Notamacropus eugenii: one gene and its partners. The protein of the gene in region 1 purifies or fractionates together with the protein of each later gene. This does not show direct contact. Links are inferred from orthologs where the notes say so. Each region holds a gene or a part of one and is shown in the gene's direction. Other genes may lie near its edges. The genes, in order: SNW1, PRPF19, CDK9 and SNRPA1.

Region 1 (7,746 bases):
GTTTGGCATTTAAAATCTTTTACAGTCTGCCTTCAGCCTGTATATCCAGATTGATTTCACATTACTCTCTCTTGCAAACTTAACATCCTGGCCAAACTCCAACACTTCAGCCATTTCCCATACTCAACCTGAATTTCCTCATCTGAAAAATATGTGGGCAAAAATAAGCACCTACTTCACAGGGTTGTTGTGAGGATCAAATGAGATAATATATGAGGTATCTTTTGCTTTTGTGCCTTTATGTAAGATGGCATCCATGACTAGAATATAGTCCCTTGTCATTTGCCTCTCTTAGAATGTTTGGCTTTCTCTGAGTCTCAGCTCAAGTGCCATCCCGTATAACAGAGCTTTTTAAATTGTGACTCCATATGGGGTTATGTGGCTAAATGTGGGGGTCACAAAATATCTGGCAAAAGTAAAAGGTTTCTGAATGCACAATGACCCAAAACTAACTCAAAATCAAATGAATGTGAGGCGTTTCTGCCAGCGCTTGTCCATGTTGCATTACACTACTTCCCTGCTGCCTTGGTTCTGAACACACAATATGCATACTTTGCACTGCTCATGTGCATACCATCACTCCACACAATGCCAACGAATATCGCCAAGAACAACTCAGCTCATATTGGAGACTATTGTATGTTATGAACTGAAGTTGTTGTTTTGTTTTGTTTTTACCATACGTACCAAATCATTAAGTGAATTTTGGCTTAGGATAAGGACAGAATTTCCAACAATTTCTGAATGGCCCTAAACATACTTCTGCCATTTTGTACTATGTATTTATGTGAAGTGGTGTTCTCAGCATTGACAATTATAAAATCAAAATATCAAACATCTCTGAAAAACACTGAAGATGTTCTATGTCCAACAGTATCAAATATTCTGCCAAGATTTAATTCTTTATGTAAAAATAAACAGGCACATCCATCTCATTAGTATGTAAATTTGCTTTTCATTTTAGTAAATGGTAAAATTATATGTATACCAAAGAATTGTTATAAAATAAATTTCTTTATGATTTATTATTAATCAATGTTTTATTTGTATCCCTATTTTATATACCTACATGCTCAGAGTTGCATAAAAATTTCTCATGTGCAAAGGGATCAGGAGTAGAAAAAGTTGAAGAAGTCCTGCCCTACACAAGGTCCTTGCTGGTGTCCCTATCCCATAGAATAAATAACTTTATTTTGATTAATCTGTGCATATACTATTTTCCTCTAGTATAATGTATGCTCTTTAAAGACTTGGACTATTTAATTTAGCTTAGCTTAGCACTTAGTACAGTACTTAGCACCTAGTAAACACCGTATACTGTTGATTTGTGTCTTTAGAACCTATTGATATTAATAAGCCTTTTCTGAAAACTCTAGCCCATGTTGATCCCTTGCTGTTGTGAGCTCTCATTTACAGTATTAGTTATTGTTATTACTATTATGGTAGGAAAACCAGAACTTAACTCTTCATTGTTACCACAATTTGTTTCATCTCCTTATCATCAGTTGTCACTAAGAACAAAAGTTCATTAGGGCCCACATTAGACCGTGAGATCCTTGAGAGCAGGGGACTGTTTCTTTTCTGTCTTTGTTTACCCCCGAAATGAGCAGCTTCTGCCACAGTAGGTACTGAATAAAATGCTTGTGGATCTACTGTCTTACTATGTGGTGCTGTCCTCGGTACTGAAGTATTTGTTGTTCTTTGAAGGGCATCCAACAGTTCCTCCAGTATTAAAATATTTCCCCCAAGTCCTGCAGCAGCGCCTTCAATTGTATTATTAGAGATAAGTATTCCTTTGATTCCAAAAAGTATAAAAGCAGCTAGCATTTTTATAGCTCTTTATGGTTTGTATCATAAAGATGATCTCATCCTTACAATAACCCTGAAATGTAGGTGCTATTATTACCCCCGGTTTACAGATGAGGAAATTGAGGTAGAAAGTTCATTGACTTGTCCAAGGTCACACAACTAGTAAGCGTCAGATAACGACTTTGAACTCTGATCTCTCTTGACTCCAGGTCCAACGTTTTGCCCAATGAGTCCCCTAGGTTCCTCTAAAAACATCAATTCCATTAGCTGACAGGTTCCTTAGACCAAAGACCTTGTTAAACTGCTCTGAAAAAGTATCCCACACCAAATAGCGAGACTTCACAATTTGGCTTAGGGCAGGCCTTGAACGTCACACAATGTGGGTGACCTCATGGCGTACGTTCAATTGAAGCGTTAAAGAGAGCTGAATCCGCCCTTGCTCTATTCGCCCACGGTTTCGCCCCGCCCCCTCCCCGCCCTTCGCTCAAAGTACTACAAATCCCAAGAGGCCTTTCGTTAAAGGTGCGTGCGCAGTGCTCTCGCCTTTTCTTCTCCGCCTTCCCCCTAACCCTTTCAGTTGCCTAGCAAACCCCTCCCAGCTGAGCTGCCGCGAGCGCTGAAAGCAGCGGAAGAAGATGGCGCTTACCAGGTGGGTTTTGAGGTCTGTGGGGGAGGAGGGGGTCTGCGTTACGGAAGAGATTCAGTTCGCTTTTGCCTTTTATTCCTCGGCTTCCACACTCTGGGAGGGTGCCGGTCAGGGGAGTAGCGATGCTTTGGGGTAAAGCTGTGGGCCAGGACTTCCCGTTAGCGGCCGAGTCGACCAGGCCTCCCCGGAAGCCGGGGCCTTTCCTGAACACCTACCCCGAGCGCTGGCCGCCCCTAGTCGTGGCTGCCGACATCGGCGTGGCTCACGCTTCCCTGCCCCTGCGCGTTCGAGGATTGCCTTAGTTGTTCTCGTTTCCGAGGGCGAGGGAGTGAAGAGGCCTTCCCTCCTGTGGAGGGAGGTGGAGGTGGGGAATCTGGAGGGAGGTGGAGGTGGGGAATCGGGGCTGGCATGTGGGGACCAGGAAGGGGACGGTGGTTACCGGTGGTGGGAAGGAGCTGGAAGCTGAGGCGGGCTTCCAGCCGCTGTCTGCTCCCTTATCGGTTGGACCTTCTCGGAAAACAGAAGAGTGCCTCCGCCTGGCGAGCTCTGAATTGGGGGTGAGGGGACTCATGGCCAGTCCAGTGGAAGAGAACTACCCCCCCCAGGCAGATCTGAGTCCTGCCGCTTCCCGATGTGGTGGGAGCTGCGTGTGAAGGCGGCCCCCGATTGCCAGCGAATGATCGTTAGTACGTAGTGAGCAAAAAAAAAAAAAATTACGTAGCTGAGACTAATTCCTGAAACAGGTGCTTAGTAAGCGGAAACAATTTTCCTTAAAAACACACACCGGCAAGAGAAGAGGAAACTCGAGGAGAGACTGCGGAAAGTCAAGCCATAAAGGTTTATTGTGTTCCAGGTACTCCGCCAAGCCCTGAGAATACCAAAGAAACCAAGGAGGCCCCTAATCTAGCGTCATCGGTATCCCCAGCTCCTGCCCCTTTCCTGCTGTTCCTACTTAACTCATCATTCCGAACGGACCATAACAGTGAAGCTTGGGAAAAAAACGAGTTACATGGTGTGGTCTGTAGAAAGGGCAATTGAAGAGGCGAACTCTGGTTTACAAGCCTCTTTTACTCTTGACCAAATGTAGGCATACAAAGCAATTGAAGTGTAATAGAATGCTGACTTTTGTGGGCAGGGAGGGAGAAGTACCAAAGGAGTTAGAAGATAGGTAAGGAAAGGCTTCACTGAGGAAGTAGGACCTGAGCTAGATATTGTGGAAAGGGTGGTGTGTGTATAAACACACATAGGCACCCATATGTATACATTTATGTACATATTCATACAAGGGAGATGCCCAGTAGTAACAATATCAGTATTGGCTTAATTTTAAGGTAGGCCGGTGGTTCTTATGTTTTCATTGAATTCGTTTTTGCTAACTTTATGAAGCCTGCAAAGTGGAAATCTTAAACTGTTTAAAATTGAAACTGTTCCCCTAGGAATTGGTTTTCCTCTATCTTTTAAGCATTTTACTTCTTGACTCTGTTCAATTGAATTTTCCAAAGGGTTAAACAGCATGCCCATAGGACTTCTTGTGGATAGTTCCAGTAGAAATTTTTGGGGGAAGTCTGACCTAAGTTCTTTTGATCCATACTATATTAGCATGCAGAAACAAGAGTTGGACTCTTTCTGTCAAAGATAGAATTGCTTTTCTAATGCTAACAGTATGTTTAAGGCAGTGATTGACTTTTCTTTTTATTCTTGGTTGACCAGTATTTTGCGGGACTCATTAAGCCTTTTGTACAGTGAATGTCAAAGGTTTTGTTCCATGTGCTATAATTCATTTTCAGTATAAATACACTGGATCTTTTTGCTTAATAACTTAACATTTATTATGATCAATACACTGGAAGTATAGTCAAAAACAATTCAAGTTGGCACTACTTCAGTTTCTTAAACGTTAATAGCTTTTTTCAGAAAATCAACCTTTTTGTTGTTACTTAAGATTATATATATTCTTGAATTGAACAGGATAAAAAAAGGATTCTTAAATGTACTTTTTTTTTTTTCTCTTAACTGCTACATGCCTATTCCCTATCCTTTTCTTTCTTTGAGGTTTCGACTTCTCTTCCCTGTTTCTACTTGTCCTTCAATATTGGTACTGTAATGATTAAAAGGGAACAAAAAGAAAATCAGTATTCTGGGCAATCATTCTCTGAATGACTGAGGATTTACTCTTAGGTTACAAGAGATTGAAAAACATAGTATAATAGCTATTGTGAGGTATACAGAGACAGTCCTGGTCGTAGAACTCATCTCATTTGCCTTTAGTCAGATATTCTTGATCCCATGAATGAGTACTTCATTATTACCTGGAATACAAAATGACTGGTATTGGCATTTCTACAGATCAGTAGAGATTCTCCCTTTTCATGAAATTAGCCAGAAAAATTTTATTCTCATTATTGATTTGAATGACATAAAGTGTTTTTGTTTGTATTCTAACTTTTCTCCTTATCCTTTTTTATAGCTTTTTACCTGCTCCAACTCAGCTGTCTCAGGACCAACTTGAGGCTGAGGAAAGGGCAAGATCACAGAGATCAAGGCAGACTGCACTGGTCTCATCAAGAAGAGAACCTCCTCCTTATGGTTATCGGAAAGGTTGGATACCTCGTTTGTTAGAGGTAAATATTAGCCTTCATTTTGGATTTATTAAATTGATCAGGGTTGCTGTAGAATTAATGAGTAAGTCTAAACCATGGAGTTTTCTAGCATCTACTTCAGTACTGTTTTGAAATATAGTTGTCTAAAGTAAACTAATTATTAGTATTATTATTAGTAAACTAATAGTGTTTTACCCTTTGAAAAGTGCTGATGAATAGGGAAATAGTCAAGAAGTAGGATGCTTAAAAGATAGAGAAAACAAACCAAACAACCAATTCTTAGGGAAATAGGAGTCCCTAACCCTTCTCACAAAAGGTATGAGCTTGAGTAATGGCAGGAATTAATTTCGTCACAGGTCCAAAATCCTTTGTACGTGCAAAAAAATCTTTATAGTTTTGGTAGGGTAGAGAAGTAGCTCTGGAAGATACTGCAAGTGTTAGGGAAAAACTGGAGTTAGAGTTTATAAGATATTGGAGAGAGACAGGACATTGGAGCCAATCTAGTCCAACCCCCTCATTGCAAAAATAAGGAAATTGAGGTACAAAGGGCATTGTCCATCAGTGGAAAGCAGGTCTGAGCTTAATTCTCTCATCTGTAAAATGGGGGGTGATAATGTTTACAGATTATAGATTATGTGGAGAACACCATGTAAATCTTATAGTGTTACATGTAAACATTAATTCTTATTCAGGAATCTTTGACATGTTGTTTTTAAAAATTGTCTCCATATGACCTGATGCTGAGTGAAAGGAGCAGAACCAGGAGAACTTTATGCACAGCAACAACCACAGTGTGTGAGAGCTTTTTCTGGTAGACTTAGATTTTTGTAATAACACAAGAACTTCCGAAAAAAAAAAAAAAATCCCAATGGTGGACCTCAAGGCAAAATGCCTTCCACACTCAGAGAGAGAAATATGGAAGTCACTCACATAATGTAGCAGATCATGTTTGTGTATGTGTATCTGTTTGTGTATCATGTTCTGATTTGTTATACGGATTCTTTCATTTATCTTAGTCTGACTACATAGCATGACTATAGTGAAAATATACTCAATAGGAAAGTATATGTAGAATCTATACAGAATTGTATGCAGTCGTGGGGAGGGAGGGAGGTAGTGGGGGGTGGGTGGGGAGGGATAAAATCGCAATTGTATGGCAGTGATTGTTAAACATTAAAAAAATAAAAAAATTAAAAAAAAAAAATAAAAAAAATAAAAAATAAAAATTGTCTCCTTCCAGTGGAATAAGCCCCTTGAAGGCAACATTGTTTTTAATTTTGTCTTTGTATCACTAGTCTTAGCATAATTTTTTCAACATAGTAGGCACTTAATATATGATTGTTGAATTGTTGGTGTGAATACTCCCCATATTGTGCCCATTGCCTCGTTTCTTTGACTCAGTATTCAGTCTTTGAAAGCTGATGAATTTCTGTTTAGAATATCTTGTGACCAGTCTGCTGGTGGAACTCTTTAGACTTAACTTGACTGCTTGTCAGACAATACACATATTCTGAATTACCTTTCTAGTTCTTGGAGTTATCAGTTCTTTGCCACTACAAAAAGAGCTGTTACAAGTATTTTTGTATGTATGGGTTCTTTTACTCTTTCTTTGATCTCTTAGGAGTATAGACTTCCAGTAGTGGTATATGACTGAGTCAAAGGGTATGTATTGCTTAATAAATTTTGAGACATAGTGCCAGATGACCTTTGCACAACAAGTGGACCAGTTCACAGCTCCATGACTAGTAGATTAATATATGTTTTTTTCACAGCTCCTTTAGTATTGAGCTCCTTTATCATTTTACATTTTTTATCAATTTAGCCAGTCTGATGGATGCAATGGGTGTGGAACCTCACAGTTCCTTTAATTTGTATTCTGTAATTATTAGTTATCTGGAGCCTTTTTTTCACATGGCTGTTAATAGCATTGATTTCTTCCTCTGAAAACTGCCTATTGATATCATTTGGCCATTGATCAATTGGAGCCCTTATTCTAATAAATTTTAATTAGTTCTTTATATAGCTTGGAAATGAAACCATTACCAAAAAAAATGCTGCAAAGATTCACCCCCCCACCCCAGCTCCCAGTTACCTACTTCTCTAATTTTAGCCACATTTGTTTGGTTTGTACAGAAACTTTTCTTATTTTATATAATAAGGATTTTCCATGTTTGGTTCCTTGTTTGGTCATGAGTTCTTCCCCTATTCATAAGTGTAAATAGTAATCATTGCTCCTCTAATTTGTTTATGATGTCACCATTTCTTTCTGAGTCATGTATCCATTTGGGGCTTATCTTGGTTTTAGTGTTAAATTGTGGTTTATACTTTTCATGTCTCCCAGACCACTTTCTGTTCTCCCCAGAAGTTTTTGTTGAATAGTGAATTCTTATCTTAATAACCTGGTCTTTGAGTTTATCTAAAACTGGGCTTCTTCAGCAAGTAAAATGTAAAATCATGTAAAATTAGGGAGTGTAGCCTTCTTGCATTTCAGATTTCATGTAGTTAAAAAGGAATTGATAATTAACTTCATGGCGTAGTTGAATTTTTAAAAATCTTATTTTAATAGCTAAGATTTCTTAAAGCTAGGTAGAGCAGAATAGGTTTTGAAAAGTCAAACTAAATTGGCCTGTTAATCTGAAAATGCCATGGGCACTTTTCCAGAAGAGTGAATGTTTGGAGAAAAAAGCATCT
Region 2 (7,640 bases), on another chromosome or scaffold:
AGTTTGACCCATCAGTACAGTTGTTTCCATGTAGTCTTACCCGTTAGACTATGAGCTCCTTGAGGGCAGGGAATGTGTTTTGCCTTTCTTCATATTCTCCTGAGCTCAGCACAGAGGCTGGAATGCAGCAGGCACTTCATAAGTGCTTATGGTTTGACTTGACTTCTCCAAGAAGCAAACTGTTAAGGAAATCTCTCCCTAGCCAGGGGTTCTTTACCTAGAGACCCCACCTATCCATCCAGGGGCCTACGGATCGATTTCTAGTGGAGTCTATGAACTTGCGTTTCTAATATTTCTATTAACTGAATTTTAGCATAATTGATTTCCTTTGTAATCCTAGGTATTTTGTTTAATTCACTTATATCATTGTAAGAAATGGTCCATGGGTTTCATCAGACACTGCCAAAAGGGCCCATAACACAAAGAAAGGCTAAGACCCCCCTACTTTAAAGAACTTGTGGCTGAAGTCTCAAACTAAGGCCTACTGAACCTGGAAATCTCAAACATGGGGTTACCTATTGGGCAAGCCCCAGGGCCAAGCAGGCACGTTCTTTCCATGCGCTTCTCTAGGAGATCTCTCAGGGACCTGGCTGCTACCGTCTCTAGAACTGGGAAAATCTCTCAGGATGCTTGGGTAAGAACATGCTCCCACATCAGTCATTTTCAGTTGGGAAGGGCAAGAGGAGAATTCTGTCCTCTGTCAGCCTCCAGAATACAAACCCTTTCAGCCAAGCACTGCTCTGTCTTCTGAACTGGGGACACTGGTCTATCAGCTCACTTTTATAAACCAGAGAGGAGAAAATCTTCCAGCAAAAGTGAAGCTTCATAAATCCCTGTGAGATAATTACCTTGGAGGCAGCCCAGGTCTCTGAAACCCAATGAATAGTTCTGTGTGTTTTCTCAGCAAGCCTAGCTGACATCCCATGGGGGAGGGGCCCTTCAGACACCACAGGGGCTCAAGATGCTTTTTGTTATGGACCTTTTGGGCCATCTAAGGAAGTCTACGAGCCCCTTTTCAGAAAGGGCCGAGCTGAAGAGGGCCTTAAACACTAGGCTTGGCATTTCTGGTTTTCTTAGGACCACAGGGAACCAATGAGTATTTTTGAGGGGTAGTCACAACTATGTCTGAGGAAGAAGATTTTGTTGGTCATTCAAGGGGTCAACAAGCATTTATTAAGTACTTACTATGTATGAGTCAGCTGGGTGGCACCATAGTGGAGAGAGTGTTGGGCCTGGAATCTGGAAGACTTGAGATACTTCTTAGCTGTATGACCCCCGGACAAGTCACTTAACCTGTCTGCCTCAGTTGCCTCATCTCTAAAATGCAGGTGATAATACTAGTATCTACCTTACAAGGCAGTTGTGAGGATCAGATGAAATAGCACACATAAAAAGCTTTACAAACCTTAAAGCTATTGTTGCCAGGCACAGTGTTGGAGGCAGCTACATGGAGGATGTGGGCCAGAAGTTACTAATTTTTCTTGGTCACTTTTTTCTTTTGGTAATAAAAATAATTTTTTCTGAATATTTTGTCTCCTTCCCTCCTGAGAACTGTCCTCCACCTCTCTCTGAGCTTCCTCTACATCCATGCTCCAGCCCAGCTGTTCTTGGTCCCGTCTCCAGGGCTGTGCTGTCAAGAGTCCACTCTTGGTGACTGTCCTTCACTGTCAACAATTCATGGAGAAAAGAGAGTTTGGGCTACAGACAATGCCAGATCTTTTCCCTCTTTCATCCCTTCCTTGTCATCCTCCCAGTTGTGTCTCTTGCTAAATTTCAGGTACCTTGTTTTCCCACTACTTTTGATGTTTCATATGGCCAGCCCGCTCCCAGTATTCCACTGCTCTTCTCCATAGGATTTTATAAACGGGATTATGGTCTAAACCAAGACTGCTCTTGGCCTCCACATTTCTCTGCTTGGCAAGGAAATTGACCATTTGTTGACAGTGGTAGCATCTCTTTGATAGGGCAATTGATTTCTATCAGTCAAAGGTCTGTAGGTAGAGAGGGCATCCTTGCTACAGATTTGAAGAAAGAGGAAATAGATTTTCCCAAACTTTAATCACATAAATGAGTAACAAATAGAGAGGAAAGGCCCACATGATGCCTATTGTTTCTTGACTTTAAAGAAGGATTTGATTTGGTTGAGCCAAATGCCACCTGTATGTCTCTCCACCAAGGAGTCTCCCACATGTCAAAATCCTTAAAAGACATAATGATATGGATAATTTTGGTTGATGAAACTTCCAGGTTGATCATCAAGCAAGACAAGGTAGGGAGATGGATTAAGGTTGCCAAAGGCATGGATCACTGTCCTGGAGAGGAGAACCAGTCAGCCATCAATCGGTCAACAAACAAGCACTTCTTATGTGCCAGGCACAGGATCCCCTAGAGATGGTGAGGTCTTCCAGGTCTGTCCTTATTTGAGGATAGCATTGGGCTAACTGGGGGAAGGAAAAGGAATAACGAACTTACCTAATATCTACCATGTTGCAGACACTGTGCTAAAAGCTGTTTACATCTCATTTGGTTCCTAGCAACAGCCTTGGGAAATAGGCGCTATTATTATCCTTATTTTACAGGAGAGGACACTGAGGCAGACAGTGGTTAAATGACTTGCCTAGATTTACACAGCTAGAAGTGTCTAATACCGGATTTAAATTCAGAGCTTCTTGACTCCAGGCCAAGCACTCTATTCATGGCACACCTGACTGCCTCAATGGAATATTCTCTTCTTAACATGCCTAATCAGTCAAGAGAGTCTGGTTTAACTAGTCATATGAAAAAAGCTCAGTGGATGAAGAATGCCTTTGTTCTTGGATTTTTTTTTTTGTATCTCCAGAATTTAGGGCAATGCTTGGTACTTGTCCAGACTGTAACATGTAGTCAAATGGATATACTTGGAGCCAGTCTACAAGTATGAATGTGTGTATATATATATATATATATATATATATATATATATATATATATATATATATATATATATATATATGTATGTATGTATATGTATGTGCATGTACATATACATAAACAGTATATGTGCCTATGCATGTCACTTACATATATATAAACACACAAATATGTATGTAAAAACCTATTCTTTTTTTCTCTCTGTACCCCATGTCTCTCTCATATACCTGTCTGTAACATTTCTCTTGGTGCATGTGATGATTGAAATCCCAAGAACAAATGGGGTCACTGGGAGAGAGTGTAGAGAGAGACCAGAAGGTTCATGCCCAGCAGGGTATAGGTATGAGACTCAAGGTAGCCTCTCAGGTCCCCTTCAGCTCTAAATCCTAGGAGTTCTAGCCCCTGATTCCAAGACTTGCCCAAGGCCATTCAGTAAGGTGTAAGAGTTGGTCTCTGGCTCCTAAATGCAAATTCCCCATCCCTCCCACTTGCTCCATGGACAGCACCAGCCCTTCTTTCTCTCCTGCTCCCTCCCCAGCTTCCTGTTGCCTCTAGGCCATCAACCGGGGCCCTTGAACCCAACTGTGCCATACAGAATTAGTGATCTCATCTTCTTTCCGCTACTCAGACGCCAGTCACTTTTCCAGCTCTGTGTCACTGCTCTCCCAGCTTCCCAGGTTAGAAACCTTGGGTCCAGCAATCAGACCCCTCTGATTGCCTTGTTCCCTGCTGCGTCCTGTATGGCCCCAGGAGACTTGCAGGACTCGAATCCTGCCCTTGATGCTGAGCTGTGATCTTGTATCCCCTTGGCAGGAGAGCAGAGACCATGGCCTCGCTTGCCTAGCCCTGGCAGCTGTGAGGGACCTTCAGGATGAATGTTCATCTTCCAAGGTTTCCTCTAGGAAGCTTTCCTGGATCCTCCCGGCTTGTCAGAGTGATTGCCCCTTGGCTGAAAGTGACCAGATGCCCCAGCCCTCACATTTCGCAGATGCAGAAAACCAGGAATGCCCAGTGAGGGGAAAGGACTTGCCCAAGGTCACACACATGGTCAGAGGATCCTGGAATCGTAGGTTTGGAGCCAATGAGTCCAACCCCTCATTTTACAGGTGGGGAAACTAAGGCACAGGCAGGTTACTGTGCCCTGCTCATGGCCCCACGACTACGAAAGCGTCTGAGGCAAGATTCAAACCCAGCTCTCTTTCTGTTCTCTCTACCGGGAGGCAGCCTGAGCTAAAAGGTTTTGCAGATACTTTGCATGTCGTATCCCCCAGGGGACTGAGTGATGCCTAATAATTCTGGTCAGGAGTGCCAATGTACAGCCTTTGCCCAGCCAAGCCAACAAGCATTTAGTAAGCAACTGTTGGGTACGTGCCAGGCACTGGGCTAAGACCCATTATGGGCAGCGTGTCGGGGCCTCAGTTTACCCATCTGTAAAATAGGAGGGAGGCGGTCTGGGTGGTGTCTAAGGGCCCGACCTGCTCCATTTCCTTAGTCCTGTATTTCACTTACACCAAGAGTACTCTGAGCTGCAAACACATATAAGAGCTTAGAGTCCGAGCTAATTTTAAGGCCAGGCCCGTGATACCAAATGTCGCGATCTTTCAACCTCCCTATAGTCCTCCTGAGAATTGGACGGGTCCTAGTCCCTCTGCATCATGGGAAATGTAGTTCCTGACTCCATGTTCTTCCGGAAGAAACCGAACTCCCTCCGGAAAATCCGGATAGGGTCCGGGCCCATTGCATGACGGGATGCACTCGTTTCCGTTATTTGCCCCAGGATCCCGCGCGCGAGGGGTTCCCCCACGTGAAACCCCGCGCTTCTGGCCCTCCTCTTTACCCCCTTTACCCCGCTCGAACCAGAACCACCCCCGGGAGAGGGGGAGAACCGGAAGTAGAGGCCGCGGCCCCGGAAGCAGAGCCCGGCGGTAAGGGAGCCCGAGCGCGGCGGCGGTGGCGGCTGCGGCGGTGGCGCCATGTCCCTCATCTGCTCCAGTGAGTAGTAGCCTCCGGGCCCCACGCCTCCTGCCAGGCCGCCCCGGGGGGAGCCGGCACCCGCGCCCACGACCCGGCGTTCCCCTGCCGGGGCGACCCTCCCGCCGCGGCCTCAGCGTCCTCATCTGTAACCGGGGGCGGGAAGGGCCGGACGCGGCGCGTCAGGCAGCGAGCATCCATTAAGCGCCGACTGTGTGCCGCGCACGGCGTCAGGGCCCTGGGAGCGGAGGCTCGGGTCTGAGGGGGTGCGGCCCCCCAACCTCCCCCCCCGCCCCGCTGCGGCCCCGCCCCCTGTGACCCCGGAGCTTCCTCTAACGCCCCAGCCCAGCCCCTCGGCCCGAGCCTCCCCCCGGTGTGGCCCTGCGGCGGGTGACTGCGGGAAGCGCCCGGCCCCGCGCCCACCAGGCCTCTTGGTTTGCAGTCTCCAACGAGGTGCCCGAGCACCCCTGCGTGTCCCCGGTGTCCAACCATGTGTACGAGCGGAGGCTCATCGAGAAGTACATCGCGGAGAACGGCACCGACCCCATCAACAACCAGCCTCTGTCCGAGGAGCAGCTCATTGACATCAAAGGTGCCCCCCGGGCCGGGGCCGCGGCGCGGGGGGCCCCGGGGGGAGGGGGACACCTGCCCCGAAGCGGGTCACCAACCTCTCTCTGTCTCTTGGACAGTGGCCCACCCCATCCGGCCCAAGCCCCCGTCCGCCACCAGCATCCCAGCCATCCTGAAAGCCTTGCAAGATGAATGGGTGAGCCAGGGAAAGCCCCCCTGCAGTGCAGCGGGCTGTCTGCTGTGCCACGGGAAGCCCGATGGGGGGCTGTGTGGAACAGACAGCCTTGGTTCTTGGGGACCCGCAGACTCGATGGCTGGGGGGGAGCATCCTAGCCCCGCGAAGCAGGGCAGCTCCTCGTAGTGTGGGCCCCAGGAACCCCCATGGCCCCCTGAAAGGAGACTCACTGAGCTCTTGGCAGAACACGGTCAGACTGCGCGAGGGGAGGGTTGTGCGAAGGAGCCGCAGTGCCAGCGAGCCACGTGTGGTACCCAAGGCTCCGCCGCTCTCCGCCTCCTCCTGGTGCGGCCTCGGCCGGCTGCTTCTGCTCTCACCCCGGCCCCTTTCTCCCCAAGGATGCGGTCATGCTCCACAGCTTCACCCTGCGCCAGCAGCTGCAGACCACCCGCCAGGAGCTGTCACATGCGCTCTACCAGCATGACGCTGCCTGCCGTGTCATTGCCCGTCTCACCAAGGAGGTCACTGCTGCCCGCGAAGCCCTGGCCACGCTGAAGCCCCAGGCTGGCCTCATCGTGCCCCAGGCCGTACCGAGCTCACAGCCCAGCGTTGTGGTGAGTGTTTCTGGCTGCCCGGCTGACCCGGAGTAGTGTGCCCCCGGCTGAGTCCTGATGGGCCTGCTGCCTATCCAGGCCTTCCTTTGGGCCTCCTCTCAGCTTTGCTCTTTTTTTTTTAAATTTTATTAATTTTACGTATTTTTCAGTGTTCTACAATCACTATCATAATAACTTAGATTTTTTTCCCCATACCTGTCCCCTACTTTCCCTAGATGGCATACAATTTTATATAGGTTCTACACGTACATTCCTATTAAATAGCTTTTTACTATAGTCATGCTATGTAGAAGAATTAAAATGAATGGGAAAAATCATATAACAAACCAAAATGTAATACAAAAGAAAATGATCTGCTGCATTCTGCAATTGAATTCCATAGTTCTTTCTCTGGTTGTGGAAGGCATTTTGCCTTAGAAGACAATTGGGAATCTCTCTTCTTTTTTTAGGGTGCTGGTGAGCCAATGGATTTGGGAGAGCTGGTTGGAATGACCCCCGAGATTATCCAGAAGGTAAGTACCTGACTCCCTGTTTTAAACTTGGCAGAGCTTCCGTGGCTTTAGCCTTTGCTTCCTTTCTCTCATCCCTGATGGCTCCCTGGATAAAGGCTTATTGGTGTGATTCCCATGAGGTTCAGGGTATCAGACTGAGCCCCAGCTCCCTTTATTGTCTCTGGGTCTGGGAAAGGAACTTGGGCCTCTGCATGAGGGAGCAATTGGGTCTCTAGCCTGTATTTTATGGTCCTTTGCTCTCATCTCCAGCTTCAAGACAAAGCAACGGTGCTCACCACGGAGCGTAAAAAGGTGAGTCCTGCATGCTGTAGATGGGCATCTAGGAGAATTTGGGCATTACTGGAGGGAGGGGGCTCAGGGGGGACCTTTGTCTGCACTCACCAGCATGCCTCCATGGCTGTTCTTTTTGTCAGAGGGGAAAGACAGTGCCAGAGGAGCTGGTGAAGCCAGAGGAGCTGAGCAAATACCGGCAGGTGGCATCCCATGTGGTGAGTGGCACACCTCAAAGCTGGACCCCAGGGCCCTGTTGTGATATTTTCTTGTGACCCCGGGCAACCAAATCTTCTCTCTGCTGCTCCCTCATCTCCAGTCTTCCAGTAGAAGGTCCTCCTGCTTTTTGCCCATCTCTCCTTTTAGGGAGATGGAATGCTGGTGTCCTGGTGGAAATATGCCAGAACCCTGGGCTCTCTGCATGGAGGCAACAAGTGATCACAGTGGAAGGGGAGGTTATCTTTGAACATTCCTTTTGTCTACTTGGTTCAGACCACCTCTCCCACTTGCTAAAGTCCCTGCCTGAGAGCAGAATGAGAAATTCCTGACTTTTAGTCAAGAAGGGTGTTTGGAGGGAGAAACGTGAGTGCAAGCTTTGAGTCGTAGGGCAGTGAAGGT
Region 3 (7,545 bases), on another chromosome or scaffold:
AGACATTTGAGTACCTCTGAAACATTTAAAAATTGTATATCAAGAAGGCTTCTGGGAATGCCGTCTCAGAGTACCTATCCTGGGGTGCAAGTCTAAGACCTCTAAGTCTTCTGAGCTCAGCAAGACTTCCCATCAGCAGCTTCCATTTTGGCCCTTGGTATCCAAATGGATTAAACAAATTCTTCAAAACTTCAGGGTGCTCTGCAGCTGCCCTGGTCTGGCCAAAGATGATTGTTATTGTTGTTTAGTCATTTTCAGTGGTGTCCAATTATTTGTAGCCCCTTTTGGGGGTTTTACTGGCAAAGAAACTAGGTTGGGTTTAGATTTTCTTCTCCAGCTCATTTTACAGATGTGGAAACTGAGGCAAACAGTGTTTAGTGAATTGACCAGGATCACACAGCTAGTAAATATCTGAGGCTGGATTTGAACTTCCCAACACCAGGTTCTATCTACTACAGCTCTATCCATGGTGCCACCTAGCTGCCAAAGACCAGCTCCATGCAATTCCCAGTGTCTTAGAGAACTTCTGCCTGGTTGGATCAGAAAACCTTGTTCTCGATGTAGTTCTGAGCCTCAAGAGCACCTCTTTCCTTTCCAATGTCCTCTCCTTCATTAGTGCCTTGGACAAGGCTACAAAGAGTGGTCAATTAGAGAAATGGAGAGTAGACATTGGATCACAAGATTTGGACCTAAGAGAGAATTCAGGGACTATCCATTACAATATCCATAGACCACTGTAGAAATAAGAACTGGTAACATAACCTTTGGCCCATCCCTGACCCATCCCTCCCCCCCTTCCCATTCCCAGTCCCCAACACTAGGCTCCCTAGAAAGTTCTTGAGTCTTGGGGTTGATTCAAGAGGGTAATTTCTTTCTTTGGTTTGTTAGGCCCACCTAGAGTTAGTCTAAGAAAATCTCTAAATATGCTTATTTTTGGCTACTGTCTAGGTTTCCCTAAATATGGGCAATGCGGCCCTAGTTCCAGTACAGGCACTTAAGATATAGATAGATAGAGAGATAGATAGATAAGATAGATAGATAGATGATGGATAGATATACACTTATATATTTATACATGGATATATATACACATACATATGTGTAGATACATACACACATGTATATGTGTATGTATACACAAACACACACACATATAATAGCAATATATAGCAATAATCGCTAACATTTATAGCACCTACTATGTATTATACTAAGGTATCTATTAAGGTATTAAATGAAGCACTTTATAAATATTATCTCATTTGATTGATAGATGACTAAAACCTCAGAAAATGTTAGAAAACACAAAGGCCTCCTAGGAACCTATAAACAGAGAAATACATAAAGAATTCTCATAGCCCATCAACTACCCTCAGAAGGGACCTGACCTTGGAATCACCATTAAGGTTACCCTTTAACCTTCTTGAGGGCCCATAGCCTTCCCAGAGGGGCACAGAGTCCTTCCCAGAATCATAGTGTTACTCTGTGGTTTGAAGGCAAGCACAGTTTGGGTCAACCCCCTTCCCATTGGACCTCCAAGTAGGAGAGCGCTCAGGAACTTTATGAGTGGTCTTCTTTTTTCTTCCTAGGTATGTAGGTGGTCTGATCTCTAAATTCTCAACCTTGGGAACTTTCGAACCTAGAGTTTTCTACAAGGTAAGCCCTACAGCAGGTCTTGCCCAGAAAACCTCCCTTCTCAGGCCATAAGGCTAGATTTCAGTATTACACTGCTTAGGGTACACATAACACAACGCATTTAACTCATCTATGCAGGATATTGGGATTCATAAACACTGTCCATGGACCACTCTCTTGAGTAATACGGACAAGCACATGACTGCATTTGCCACGTCCTTCTGCAGGAAATCTCTTAGTGCCCCATTTTTGGCCATCTTTTGAGTGGGGAAAGTAGTTACTCTCAGGATGTCTCAAGATTCAGACCACTTTCAGACTAGCACACACAACTCCCAAATGCCTCTGCTTCAGGATGCCTTTCCTTGTCGCTTAGGGGAAGAGTCACATGAACACAAGGCTTCTCTTCCCTCAAGGACCTGCTCTGCCCTATTCCATGCTGGTCTGTCTTCTGAACAGGGGAAGGCAAAAAGCCAAAAGACGGCAAAATCGTGTCTGCTCACACCCTAAAAAGTCCATCCTCTTGAATCCTACCTTGTATTTCCTTGTGATTTCTCACCTCTCCTCAATTTATTTGTCTTCTCTGTTTAGGCTCTTCCAAGCTCCACAGAGGAAATGGCAATGATGTTTTGTGGAAAGGATGGTAAATCTGGAGTTTTCCCTGGACCTAGGTTTGAACTCTGACTCTGTCAACCTGGAGGGGTGTGGCCTTGAGACAGTCACTCCACCTGAGCTTCTGTAAAACAAATGAAGGGGTAGTACTAAATGATTCCTAATGCCCCTTCCAGCTCTACATCTATGATCCTTCTCTATTATCTTTCTCCTACCACTTAAGAGATCTTCTCTGGATATATAGTTCTGCACCTACTGACACCTTGTCATGCGTCTTGCCAGGACAACGCTTTGACACAGCCATTCTTGGAGTATCTTTAGACACAGCAAGCACAGGGTATCTAGAGCACCCTTGCACCACTCCCTAGGGGCTTGAGTTCCACACACATTTTTGATGGAAGAAAATTCTACTCTTCTAATTCTGAGATTTTTAGCAACTTATTTTGTGACTAGTTAAGTCCCATATATTAGAGTGAAGGTAGAAAGCCTTTGGTGGACAATAGGATACAGGGTACAATTTACAGGTTTTATCTACTCCAGTCTCCACATCACCAACTATCCAATGCACATCTCCAGCTGGATATCCTGTAAGGCATCTCAAACTTGACATATCCAAAACAAAACTGTCTTTCCTCCAAAATCCTCCCCTCTTCCTTTGTTTTTGTTGAGGGCATCACTATTCTTTCCATTAGCTGGGTTCTCCTATTCAATCGTCTTTCACTCCTTGTTCTCCTTTATCCTCACTTCCCTCCTCCCCGCCCCATATGCAAGCAAATTGGTAAGTCTTGTCTAGTCCACCTCTGTGACATCTCTCAAATCCATGGCATTCTCTCCATACATTTGCCTTCATCTTCCTTTAAGCCTCTATCACTTTTCCCTTGGCTTATTGCAATAGCCTCTGAATCCCCATATCCAGCCTCCCTTCCATTCCCCATAAACTACCAAACTGATATTATTAAAACATAGGTCTGTGTCATTCCCTTCCTCAAGACATTCCAGTGATTCCTCAATGCTCCTGTTATAAAGTACAAATGCCTCTACTTACCTTTTAAAGCACAGTTTTCCTTCCAGGCTTATTAGACCTCACCCTCCTTCACACACTGAAGCATTTAGCAAAACCAATTTGCTTCCAATTTTCCATCCACAATATTTCATCTCCTGCTTCTGTGTCTGTCCAGGTGGTCCCCTATGCCTGGAATGCCCTCTCTCCTCACTCATTCTTCATAGAATCCCTAGCTCTTTTCAAAGCTCAGCTCAACTGCCACCTCCTACAGGAAGCCCACTGACCCTCCACCCCCACCCCCAGGTGCTAGTGCCCTCTACCTAGGAATGATTTTGCATCTATTTTGTATTTAAGTTTCTATTTATATGTTTTCTGCTCCCCTTAAAAGTGTAAGTTCTTGGAAGGTGAGTCTTTCATTTTTATCTGTGCCCCCACTCTATCCTTTCCCAGCGCCTAGAACATAGTAAGTACTTAATAAATGCTCCTTGAATTGAATTTCATTGCCTCTGTAGGATGTGCCAGGTTCTGCTCTCCAAGTAGGAGAGAAGCTGCCAGCAAATAAAAAGGGGGGGGGCAAAGAAACAGGAAAGTTCTAGAGGTGTTCCCCAGGCATAGTGGGGAAACCAGTCCTCTTGGAGAATTCATGGAGGGTAGCGGAGGGTTGGAGAGATGGGGTGAAGCAATATTGGAGGCAAGGTTGGAGAGGTATGGCAGAGAGCACTAGGCTAAGGACTTGGGATTTAATGCTGGAAGCAGTTGTGGAAGCCATTTTGTGTTCTCCAACAGGGAAATGACATAGTTTCAAAGAGGTTATTCTAATAGCCTTTGTAAGAACAGGACAGAGTGAGAATAGAGAGGAAGGCCAGGAAGGAGATTGTTGTAATAATCTAGGTGAAAAGCAAAGATGGCTAGGGATCAGGAAGCTTGAGTTCCTTGCTAATCTCCTTGACTCTTTCTGAAAGGCCAGGAGAGCAGAATGACAGCCCCAGATCAGGGTGCGGAGAGGGAATGCCCGAGCTGGTGGGAGTAGGAGATTAGGGAGGGAAGAAGGAATCAAAAGGCTACTTCAAAGGAGACTGGGCATGCTTTGATGACCAGACACGCCTGGGTTCCAGGCTTAGTGTCTTCCCCTACTAACTGCACGAGCATAGGCAAGCCCCTTTGCTCCTGAGACCTTTCCTCACCTGCAAAGTGGGGGTTTAGTGCATGCACCACTGACTTCACGGAGTGGTGGGAAGCTGTTTGTAGACAAACGTGAGCTATTGTTTCTTGTAATTCATGATCAGAAGCAGTAGGAAGAACAAGTGTAGACAGTTTATGGAAGGGCTCCCAGGGGAGTCACCTCGGGTGAGGGATCAAGGTCTTGGCCAGCGGAGGGCACACACCGTCCCCTGACACGGGAGACTTGGTTTACACTGTGTGGTGGAGGTGGCTGAGGTACTGAGCAGGCGTTTCGGCTCCAGCCCTCCCTCCCGGCTCTCCGGCCAGGGCCGAGTTGGTGGCTGAGCCAGCCAGTGCCCCGGAGGGAGCTTTCCCAGCAGGAGGTGCCCCCCACAGCGGCGCACACGTGGGGAAAGCGCAGGTCTCCGCGGCATTCATTGTTGCTAATGCCAACCGTCCCCAGCCTAGGTCCGGCCCGAGGAGCTCGTCCCCCCGAACGATGTGACCTGGACGGCCAAGTCTGACGGCTGAGTCCGTTTGGAAGGACAGTGAGGAGGTCAGTTTTGGACATGGTGAGTTTGCGAAGTGAACGCCCTGCCCTGGGGGAAACTGAGGCGGCCCAGGCAGAGCGTGTCTCCCTCCGCTCCCCATGCACCCAGAGAAGGAGGAGGGCGAGCTGGCCCTCGGCTCTCCCGGGTCTTTGAGGCCCGAGGGAAGAAGGAAAGAACCCCCCAACCCCCAGGGCTCTGCCCACCGGCCCCCAACAGGCCTCCCCCGCCGATCCCGCCCTCCTTCCGCTCCTCTGGTCTCGCAGCTCCCCCTGGCGGCGATAGGTTGCCATGTCAACCAAGGGAACCGGGGGGCCGGCGGGGGGAAGGCGGCTCCCGCCCCCCGGCTCGGCCCCCGCTCACTCCGCGCCTCCTCCGTGCGCCTCTCGGCCGTTCTCCCAACTCGGAGCCCGAGGGGTGGGGGGAGCGGGAAGGGAAGGGCTCCGCTTGCTCGCGGTCCCCACGACGGCTAAGACCCGGGGGCGCCCCTGGTGCCCTGGCCTAGGGTGCAGAAAGGGAAACTGAGGCACGGCCGGGCGGCAAACGGGACGCACTGAACCGAGGGCTCGATTGCAGACTCCCAGGCGTCCGGGCTCCTGGGCCCACACGTCACTCTTCGCTTTCCTCTCCCCGGCACTTACGGGGGCGAGGGGAGGTGGGGACGGGACCCCCCAGGGGGGAGGGGCCGCGGCTGGGGCTGGTGACGTACCGTGAACCCCCACTCCCCCCACCCCAGCGGGCGGGTCCGAGTCCGGGTCCGGGGCGGAGTCGCGGCAGGTGCGCCCGCGGAGTAGGCGGGCGAGAACGGGCGGCACCTCCCTACCCCCCCCTTTATAACGCGCCCCCAGCCCCTCCCCTCCAGGCTCCCCTCATCGCCCCCACCCCGTCTCGGTGTCCTCTCCTCCTCCTGTCTCAGTCTCTCCTTCCCTTCCTGCCCCAGCCCGGGCCTGGGAGAGGAGGAGGAGAGGAGCGAGCGTCCCCTGGCCCGGCTCTCGCTCCGGTTCCCGGGGGCGGCTCCCCCCGCCCTCCCCTCCCCGCCCCCAGCCCCGCGGCGGCGGCGGCGTCGGAGAAGCCGGAGCCGAGAAGGAGGAGGAGGAGACTGCGGCTCGCCCGGGATCCGCTCCGGAGCAGCTCCGCGGGCTAGCTGCCGGGCCAATGCAACGGGACGGGCCGCCCCGCGCCCCCGCCCCCATCCCGGGGCCCCGCCTTCCCGGCCCCGGAGGTGTTGGTAGTGTTGGCGGCGGCGGTGGCGGCGTTGGCGGCGGTGGCGGCTCTACAGCCCCAGCAGCCCCCGTCCTCCCGGGAACTACAAGTCCCAGGGGTCCCGGCGGCGGCCGCAGGGCGGAAGAGGCGGGGCCGGCACCTCGGGGCCGGAAGTGGCCCGGGAGGCGGAAGTGGCGGGGCCGAGGAGGGGGCTGGAGCGTGGGGGGCGCGGCGGCGGCGGCGGCGGTAGCAGCGGCGGCGGCGGCGGCGGCGGCAGCTGCAGCGGGACCCGGGCCGGGGGCAGCGGGGGCCGCCAGCGGGGCGGCGGGAGGCACCGGCGAGGCCGCCATGGCCAAGCAGTACGACACGGTGGAATGCCCCTTCTGCGACGAAGTGTCCAAGTACGAGAAGCTGGCCAAGATCGGCCAGGGCACCTTCGGGTGAGCGCCGGGACTGGCCTGGCCGGGCCAGGGAGGGGGGTACCGGGGGCCTCCCGAGGCCTCAGACCGAAAGGGACCCTCAGGGGCCGGCCGGGCCGGGGGGCCGGGGCCGGGACCAGAACGGGACAGCCCGCGGGACGCTGGGGAGGGTTAAGGGCGAGGCCTGAGCGAAGCCGCGGGTCCGAGGCCAGGAGGCCGAGGGGCGACCGCCCGCTGGGAAGGGGACCCGAGTCTGGAAAGTTAACAGCCTGACTCTAGAGCCTGGGGCTGGAGGCGGAGCCCTTGTGGCGGGGATCTCGAGGCTGAGGGGGGCTCTTGGGGCTGGGGCCTCGAGGCTGTCCGACAAAGGGAGGCTGGAGGACTTGAGGTCCGGCCCCAGGGGTGAGTCTGCCGGGAACCCTGGAGGTTAGGGCAGCCTGGCCAGAAGCGCTTTGGAGGTAAGGAGGTTCAGGTCGTAGAGAGATAAGAGGCAGGTAGGGGAAATCCCCAGAGACGGTGAAGGGGCTTCAGTTTGCGGGGGAGGAGCTGAACAAAGGAGGCGCTGGAAAGGTTGGAAAGTAAGGGACTTTCAAGATGGGAGTAGATCTGAAGGTGAATCTTTTTGCAGACAGGCTTTTGTTTGTATTTTTCAATTAAAGTAAGGGTATGGTTTGGTGGCAAGCTGAAGGGCTTGGGATTCAGACCACTAATTTATAATGTGATCTTGGGCACACATACTTTCCTCTCCCCCCCCCATTCAGTTTCCTTATCTGTATAGTGAGAGGTTTTTAGAGTAAATAACTTCCAAGCTTTTTCCAACTCTAGTATTGATGTAAGAACCTGGGATAAAGGGTAATTGCCATTTCTGATAAATTCTGGGAGGAGGGTGCTGGGCAGAAAAAGAGCCTGGGTAAACAAACGTGCCATCACTTGGCTTGCAGTGAAGTCTTCAAGGCCAAACATCGAC
Region 4 (6,829 bases), on another chromosome or scaffold:
TTTTATACCTAAATTTCATGAGAATAACTGATGAGATTGTATCAGGAAGGACTCTAGCTTACACAGGAGGGCCTGCTGTATAGGTTCTTAGATCTGCTTTTCTAAAAGGAAACCAATTTTGAAGGGTCAACAATGTACTTTAATGAAGCACATATATCTATCATTCACTCAGTACAGGGGGAAAAGTCAAAACCCTGAACTTCAGAAAAAATGCAAACAAAGAAATAAAGACCAACAGACAGGGTTTCCAACTGTCTGACCATTTCATACATACATAGTTACACACACACACACACACACACACACACACACACACACACACACTCTTCAGAGCCAGAGGGCATCACAACCTTTGAGAACCAGTGCCCCATTAGAAATTAACAAAAGGTATGAGCCTTCCTACAAAACAAATCTCCTCTAATCAAACTTCCCTTAATGGGCAGGCCCATTAATGGGTGAGGAAGATCTTTAATTTTCATTAACATAATTAACATTGCAGAGATTTAGAAAAAAAAATTTGGATCTATCTGGGGGCTTCTTGGTCATACCATTATATATGGACTCAATACTGTTGTACATCCTGGAATTTGTATAGCACTGAGTCATAATCTGATGTGTCAAAGAGTTTTGGCGCAGGATAAAGGATATAAGTATGTAGTGTATTTGCACTAAGATTACTGAGACAGGAGTGGGGAATATTTTCCACATTGGAGTTTGAGGCTGCTGCTTTGAACTGAAGAGACACAAAACAAGGGATTACAGAAGCAAGAAATTAAAGCCTCAAACTGTAATTAAACTATAATTAAATTAGAAATTAAGGTCTTGGAGCTATAACATAACCTAATGGTAAGAAACCAAAGCTGAAACCATAGATTAAGCTTGATTGCTATGTGCTAGCAAGAGGTAAAAATAGTGGTTGAAATGAACCAAATGCTGTTCTAAGAATGTAACAAGAAAACTAAAACTATCTTTGGAGATTTTGTAAGTGTTAAGATCTCATGAGTTCTTGAGATTATATGCTATGAGCAGCTTGGATGTTTGAGTTGCTTTTCTACCTCCTTGAGATGAACATTCTGTCCTCATTTGTAACTCTGACGGTTAACGCTAAGGTACATGCTTAAATTGTTCTTGAAAATATATTAAAAGACATTCCTTAATAAAAATATGCCAAAGAATATGAACAGGCAATTTTCAAAGGAAGAAATCCAAGCTCTGAATAACCTCGTGGAAAAAGTACCCTGAATCATTAATAAATAAAGAAATGCAAATTAAAGTAGCTCTGGGGTTCTGTTTCATATCCATTGGACTGAAAAAGAATGACCAAAGAGGAAAAATGACAGATATTGGATGAGCTATGGGAAAATAGGCACATCGCTTCATTGTTGGAGCTGTGAATTGATCCAGCTATTTTGGAAAACAATATATGGGTTAGGATCCAAAAGTTACTAAACAGTGCATATCCCTTAACCCAACTATATCGCTATCAGGCCTATCCTCTGAAAGAAATCAAAGAAAGAAGGACATATATGTACAAAAATATTTATTGCAATACTTTTCATAGTAGCTGAAATTTGATAGCTAAAGGGGTATATACTTATTGGGGAATGGCTAAAAAATATTATGGTATATGTGAATAATGGAATATTATTGTGTCATAAGAAAAAATCAAAATAGACTTCTGGGTAGAATTCTATGAATTTATGTCAAAGTGAGCAGATCTTTAACAGCTTGTGCAATTACAACAACCTTGCAGAGAAAAACAACTTTGAAAGAATTTAAATTTCTGACAGTGGAACAATAAACCATGATTCCAGAGGACTGAAGATGAAATACTTCCTCCACAGAGGTTAATAATGCAGAGATGACCAATGTGGAAATCTGTTTTGCTGGACTATGCCTGTTCAAGTTGTGGGGCTTTTTTTAGTTGTTGTTCAGTGAGGGGTAGAATATTGAGAGGGATAAATTAGAAATGCATGTAAATTTTTTTTAAAAAAGAAGATATATGAAAGCCTCCAGATTATGCCTGATACTTGAGTCACCATGTCAATATAGAACACTCTCCTTGCAACTGCATTATTTAACAAATCTTTGATTCTAATTGATATAACTATAAGCAATGAAGACATTTTTCCCCCTTAACATACTCTATGATTTAGCAGATGATATAAATGAAATGTTGTGGCACCCTTCAAATCCATCACCTAAAGGCCACAATTTTGGTAAGAAATATCTCTCAGCTAGCAAGTTGATCTTTGGACTGTGGGCTTTTCAATTTTGGAGGAATCTGTCAAAACCTCTATGCTACAATGAGTCATTTCATGTATTTTTTCAAAGGTTTCAGAGCTATTGAAGAGGCTCAATATTTACTATATCATATAGCACAAAACCATAGATTTTAGAACAGGAATAATTCAACTATAGTGCTCTTTTTTTTCTGATACTGAAATGGACAGACCGAGACAAGCACAGGCAAGAGTCAATTGAGAATTTGGGAGCGTCTTTATTAGCCGGCGGCTGTCCTCAGAAGAGGCAGCCCCGAACAAAGGTGTGTGTGCCTTTTAAGCATCTTAGCACTTCCCAGTACAGTCTTGCAGTTCCAGTAGCAAACATTTTTCACAGAACAGTTTTGACAGGGGTTCCTAGGTGCTGCTAGGCAAGGTGGCACAACAGAGAGGGGGGCTCAAGCAGCTGCCAGGCAAAGGGGTACAACAGAGATGGGGGCCCAGGCAGCTGCCAGGCAAAGGGGTACAAAGAGAGGGGCTGCTAGGCGAAGGGGCACAACAGAAAGTGGCTACTAGGCCCAACCCTGCCTAGAAACTCAACAGACATTTCTCAACCCAGGGGCTACAATTCTAATTATTATGGTCTAAGTATGGGTTATTAGGTATTATCCATTAAAAAAGGAATAGAAATAATATTCCTAGCATATTCACTAGGAGGGAAGTCTGCATAGTTACATTTCTAGAGATTGCTTTCATAGATTTATAACTTGCTACTTTATTTCCTTTTTGATACATTGTTTCTCTATACAACACTTTTCACAACCCTCAAATAAATGTCTCTTCAAAGGGTATACCACCCCCCCACCCTCCACCCCCATCCCCGTCCCCACAACCATCAAAGGCTGGTTTCAATATTCAAAAAGAATGTGTGTTCTAACTTAGTACGATACATTGTTCTGTTGCTTATATTTGACCACCAGTTTTGCTACCTCTTGATGTTATCTGTATTTACCTTGTTGCTCTATACTGTTCTTTTAATTCGGCTTTCTTAATTCTGCTTCACTACTTTCTACAAATCTTCCCATGGAGTTTTCATATTCATCATTCCTTATGATGTAATTTATCCCATCATATTTATATATCAATTCATTCTGTCATTCCCAGTCGCTGGCGCATTATTTAAAAAAAGTTTCTATGAAGATCTTTTTGTACATGTGAGTCTTTTCTTGCTATAAATAAATTAATGGAAGTAGCAGAATCTTTTCTTGCCCAAATGCTTTTCCATAACCAGAAGCATCAAATGAGGTAACACAAGCAGAAAAAAAAAAGCGCTTTGCAAAACTTAAAGCTCTCTATAAATGCTAGCTACTAGCTAGCTACTGAATGGATGCGTCGGAAACACGCTGTCCTGCGTTCCTTCACCCTACAAAGCACACATTTAGCCCTATTTTTGCAAAGGACCCTAAACGAGCCTGTAAGAGACATAAAAGGTGGCTCCACGAGAGCAACGCAAGGGACTTTAAAACAGTGAGTGCCGGGAGCTCGATTGGGACTTTGGTCGAAGTTCTGGCGGAAGACAGGCAGTAGTTCCGATCTCCGTGATTCGCGAATTGATGGCTTTGGCCTGAACACGCTGCGGCCTCCCGAGGCCCGTGATTGGTTCTGTCCGACCGCGGGGGCGGTGCGCGGAGGCTGCTGGGTATTCTTTGGGGGCCGGAAGGAGCGGAGTCTGCGGTGCCTTGTGGCGACAAGATGGTGAAGCTCACGGCGGAGCTCATCGAGCAGGCGGCCCAGTACACCAACGCCGTGCGGGACCGTGAGCTGGACCTGAGAGGTAAGATCAGGGCGCTGGGAGGAGCGACGGAGAGGACCGCGGCCCCCGCGCTGGGCCTCGGGCCGGGGTCATGGAGCGCTGGGTGGCCTGCGCGCGCTTAGCGGGCCCGCGGGCGGCCTTTTCCGAAGCTGTAGAACAGCAGCTCGCCGCGCTGTGCGGTTCAACCTCCGCTCCGAACACAGAGGAGGAAACTGAGGCCCGCCCGGGGAAGGGAGAGGGCGTGCTCGAGGGCCTGCCCACCGGGCTCCCGAGACCCCCGCGAACAGAGTGGAGGAAATTGGAGTTTCTTGGTGCGCGCGGAAGAGGGTAACTCTTTAGAGAGCGTGACAGGCCCGGTCTGTCACTTGTTACTCTGTAGCGACCGCTCCCTTATTGTCTCATATTATCCGCTATTCTGTAGCACCCTCGCTCCTTTGTTTACCGCCCAGTGAGTCTCACTTCATTTTGTGACATTCCCCGCCACCACGGACCCCTCCAACGGTTCCATTTTTTGGACCACTCCCTGCTTTCACACGTACTCCGGTGTAGTGACGCTCACGGTGTATGTAGTCCGTGATGTTCAGAAGCTGTTCATTCTGACCTTTCTCTCTTTTATTACCCTTCGTAGTCTTATCTGCTTAATTGAAAAATTGAAAAGGCAGGCTTCACTTTAGTTCTGATGTTTATGAGCTAATTTGCACGTAGAGATCACATTCTGTCTTAGTTGGGAACTGTACTGTATCTTACTTGAATTAAGCTAACCTCCAACTGAAACTTACTGAACCAGGTACAGTGAACTAAGGAGAAATACCACAGTAACATGGACTTTTGAGGGCCACGCAAGTGGACAGGCAGATGTGAAGAATTAGATTCTGTGTGTGAAAAGAGCTTTAAATTGTTTTGATTTTTTTTTTAAGCTAGGTTTGAGTCCAGGTTTCATAGCTTGCTACCTGTATAATGCTGATCACTTCATCTCTCTGGACCTCGGTTTCCTTATTGGTTAAATGAAAGGGTTGGACTAGATTACTTTAAACAGAAGGAATTTTCAGGTCAAAATGAAATACTGTCTTGGTGTGACAAGGCATGAGTTAAAATATGAGAGATTTCATGGAAGGAAGGCATCACTTTGGAACATGGTTTTCACACTAGGATGGGGAGGTTGACCTTTCATCCTTTTTCTGTGAAATCCCAATTCCTTAAACTTCATAAGTTTTATATTGCACCCATGAGCAGTTATTTTAAAAAATTTTATATTATTAAATTAAATGTAGATAGAGGTGCACTTCAAGTTTCACCTTTTCTAAGAAAACTCTTTTGTCTTTGACCATGTTTATTGTCATATATGTTTATATTTAATTTAATGATACTTTTTCGTACACTTCCCAGCAAACACACAATCACCCCCAGCAAAGTATGTTCCCTAAAACTAGATTAACAGGACAGAGAATTGTGTGTTTTAACTTAGTTGGCATTTGTAGCAACTTCTAGTCATCGTATTTGACCAAATTTTGCTGCCTTTTAATGTTTGTGGGCATTGACATATCTGTGTATGTATGCATGTGTATATATGTTTATATACACACATATATGCATGTGTCTACTGTCTTCACTATCACCTGTAATAAATAATTTATTTCTCTGAAATCTTTGTATCTGAAATCACCTTATTTGTTAATTTCTTATAGCACAGATTAACACACTATAAATTTTTCGTCCATTCCCCAGTTGTTGGGACACATATTAGCTTCATTTTTTTGTTGTCACAATTTATGCTATGGATAGTTTTGTACATTTGAGGCTTTCTTGTATCTTTTATATCCAGTCCCAACTTCAGAATCTCTTGTTAAGAGTATGCACAATTCGGTAACTTTTGCATAATTCCAAATTGTTTTCTAGAATGGTTGAACCTGTTCATAATTCCACCAGCAGTAATTTAACATTATTGCCTTGTGTTGTTATTTAAATGCTCCATATGTGTATCATCTCTCAAAATAGGTTTTAAGTTCCAATATGGGTAGAAACTATACCTTTCCTTTGTGTCATCCTCAAAACTTTAATAAGTACTGGTTACTTAACTGTTTGTTGAATGAAGAATTGCTGGTGCTCTCATGGTGTAGATTCTAAAATGGATAACAATACCTGATTTAATTTACTGACACTGTTAATTTTAGCTATGGTGTACCTTGGCTACCTCAGTGTAATCTAATATCTTTACTGTTTTCCAGGATACAAGATTCCTGTAATTGAAAACTTGGGGGCTACCTTGGATCAGTTTGATGCTATTGATTTTTCTGATAATGAAATCAGAAAGTTGGATGGTTTTCCCTTGTTGAAAAGACTGAAAACATTATTGGTGAATAATAATAGAATATGGTAAGTGTTAGTTTTTCCCCTGAGTTAGCTGTTAGCTTAAAGCATGGTAAGCAGCTGCAGGTATGCTGAAATTTTTTAAAGCTGAAAAGTTTTATTCTTTCACAGAAATTCAAATAATTCATGGCAGTCTTTAATCCTAGTTTCTGTTTCATGTATCTAAAATTCACGTTGCAAAGGATCATCCACATAAGGAAATTAGCTACTGACAAAAGTTTAGTTTAATAATTTTTATTGCCCTCTTTTGATGTTTATTGCTTGGTATTTTTCTGCATATATGCAGTTTTTAATTATGAAATGAGAGTAAGTAAAAGGTCTGTGCAAGTATAATTTACTAACTTTTTCTGCCTCACCTGATTGACACTTTGTGTCTGCCTCTCCTACCAGATTTTATCTTGGATTCATGGTTCAGTCTGCTGTCTTG

Evidence for each region.
Region 2: the proteins of SNW1 (region 1) and PRPF19 purify together in Homo sapiens (affinity purification with mass spectrometry; 3 studies listed by BioGRID and IntAct, counting the BioPlex papers as one, with this or other methods). This does not show direct contact. The link is inferred for Notamacropus eugenii from reciprocal best matches to the Homo sapiens genes SNW1 and PRPF19.
Region 3: the proteins of SNW1 (region 1) and CDK9 purify together in Homo sapiens (affinity purification with mass spectrometry; 4 studies listed by BioGRID and IntAct, with this or other methods). This does not show direct contact. The link is inferred for Notamacropus eugenii from reciprocal best matches to the Homo sapiens genes SNW1 and CDK9.
Region 4: the proteins of SNW1 (region 1) and SNRPA1 purify together in Homo sapiens (affinity purification with mass spectrometry; 4 studies listed by BioGRID and IntAct, counting the BioPlex papers as one, with this or other methods). This does not show direct contact. The link is inferred for Notamacropus eugenii from reciprocal best matches to the Homo sapiens genes SNW1 and SNRPA1.

What each region holds. Positions count from the first base shown.
Region 1 is NC_092878.1:61,529,968-61,537,713, reverse strand, and holds the start of SNW1 (SNW domain-containing protein 1), read left to right. Parts: upstream 1-4,730; 5' UTR 4,731-4,745; coding exon 4,746-4,783; intron 4,784-4,922; coding exon 4,923-5,076; intron 5,077-7,746. UniProt on the Homo sapiens protein: Involved in pre-mRNA splicing as component of the spliceosome. As a component of the minor spliceosome, involved in the splicing of U12-type introns in pre-mRNAs.
Region 2 is NC_092873.1:12,527,248-12,534,887, reverse strand, and holds the start of PRPF19 (pre-mRNA-processing factor 19), read left to right. Parts: upstream 1-4,629; 5' UTR 4,630-4,883; coding exon 4,884-4,902; intron 4,903-5,323; coding exon 5,324-5,473; intron 5,474-5,570; coding exon 5,571-5,647; intron 5,648-6,024; coding exon 6,025-6,240; intron 6,241-6,689; coding exon 6,690-6,752; intron 6,753-7,001; coding exon 7,002-7,043; intron 7,044-7,165; coding exon 7,166-7,240; intron 7,241-7,640. UniProt on the Homo sapiens protein: Ubiquitin-protein ligase which is a core component of several complexes mainly involved pre-mRNA splicing and DNA repair. Required for pre-mRNA splicing as component of the spliceosome.
Region 3 is NC_092872.1:479,053,443-479,060,987, forward strand, and holds the start of CDK9 (cyclin-dependent kinase 9), read left to right. Parts: upstream 1-4,526; 5' UTR 4,527-4,980; exon of another isoform or gene 4,981-5,611; intron 5,612-5,896; 5' UTR 5,897-6,111; coding exon 6,112-6,599; intron 6,600-7,519; coding exon 7,520-7,545. UniProt on the Homo sapiens protein: Protein kinase involved in the regulation of transcription.
Region 4 is NC_092872.1:153,137,216-153,144,044, forward strand, and holds the start of SNRPA1 (U2 small nuclear ribonucleoprotein A'), read left to right. Parts: upstream 1-3,827; 5' UTR 3,828-3,974; coding exon 3,975-4,056; intron 4,057-6,260; coding exon 6,261-6,408; intron 6,409-6,829. UniProt on the Homo sapiens protein: Involved in pre-mRNA splicing as component of the spliceosome. Associated with sn-RNP U2, where it contributes to the binding of stem loop IV of U2 snRNA.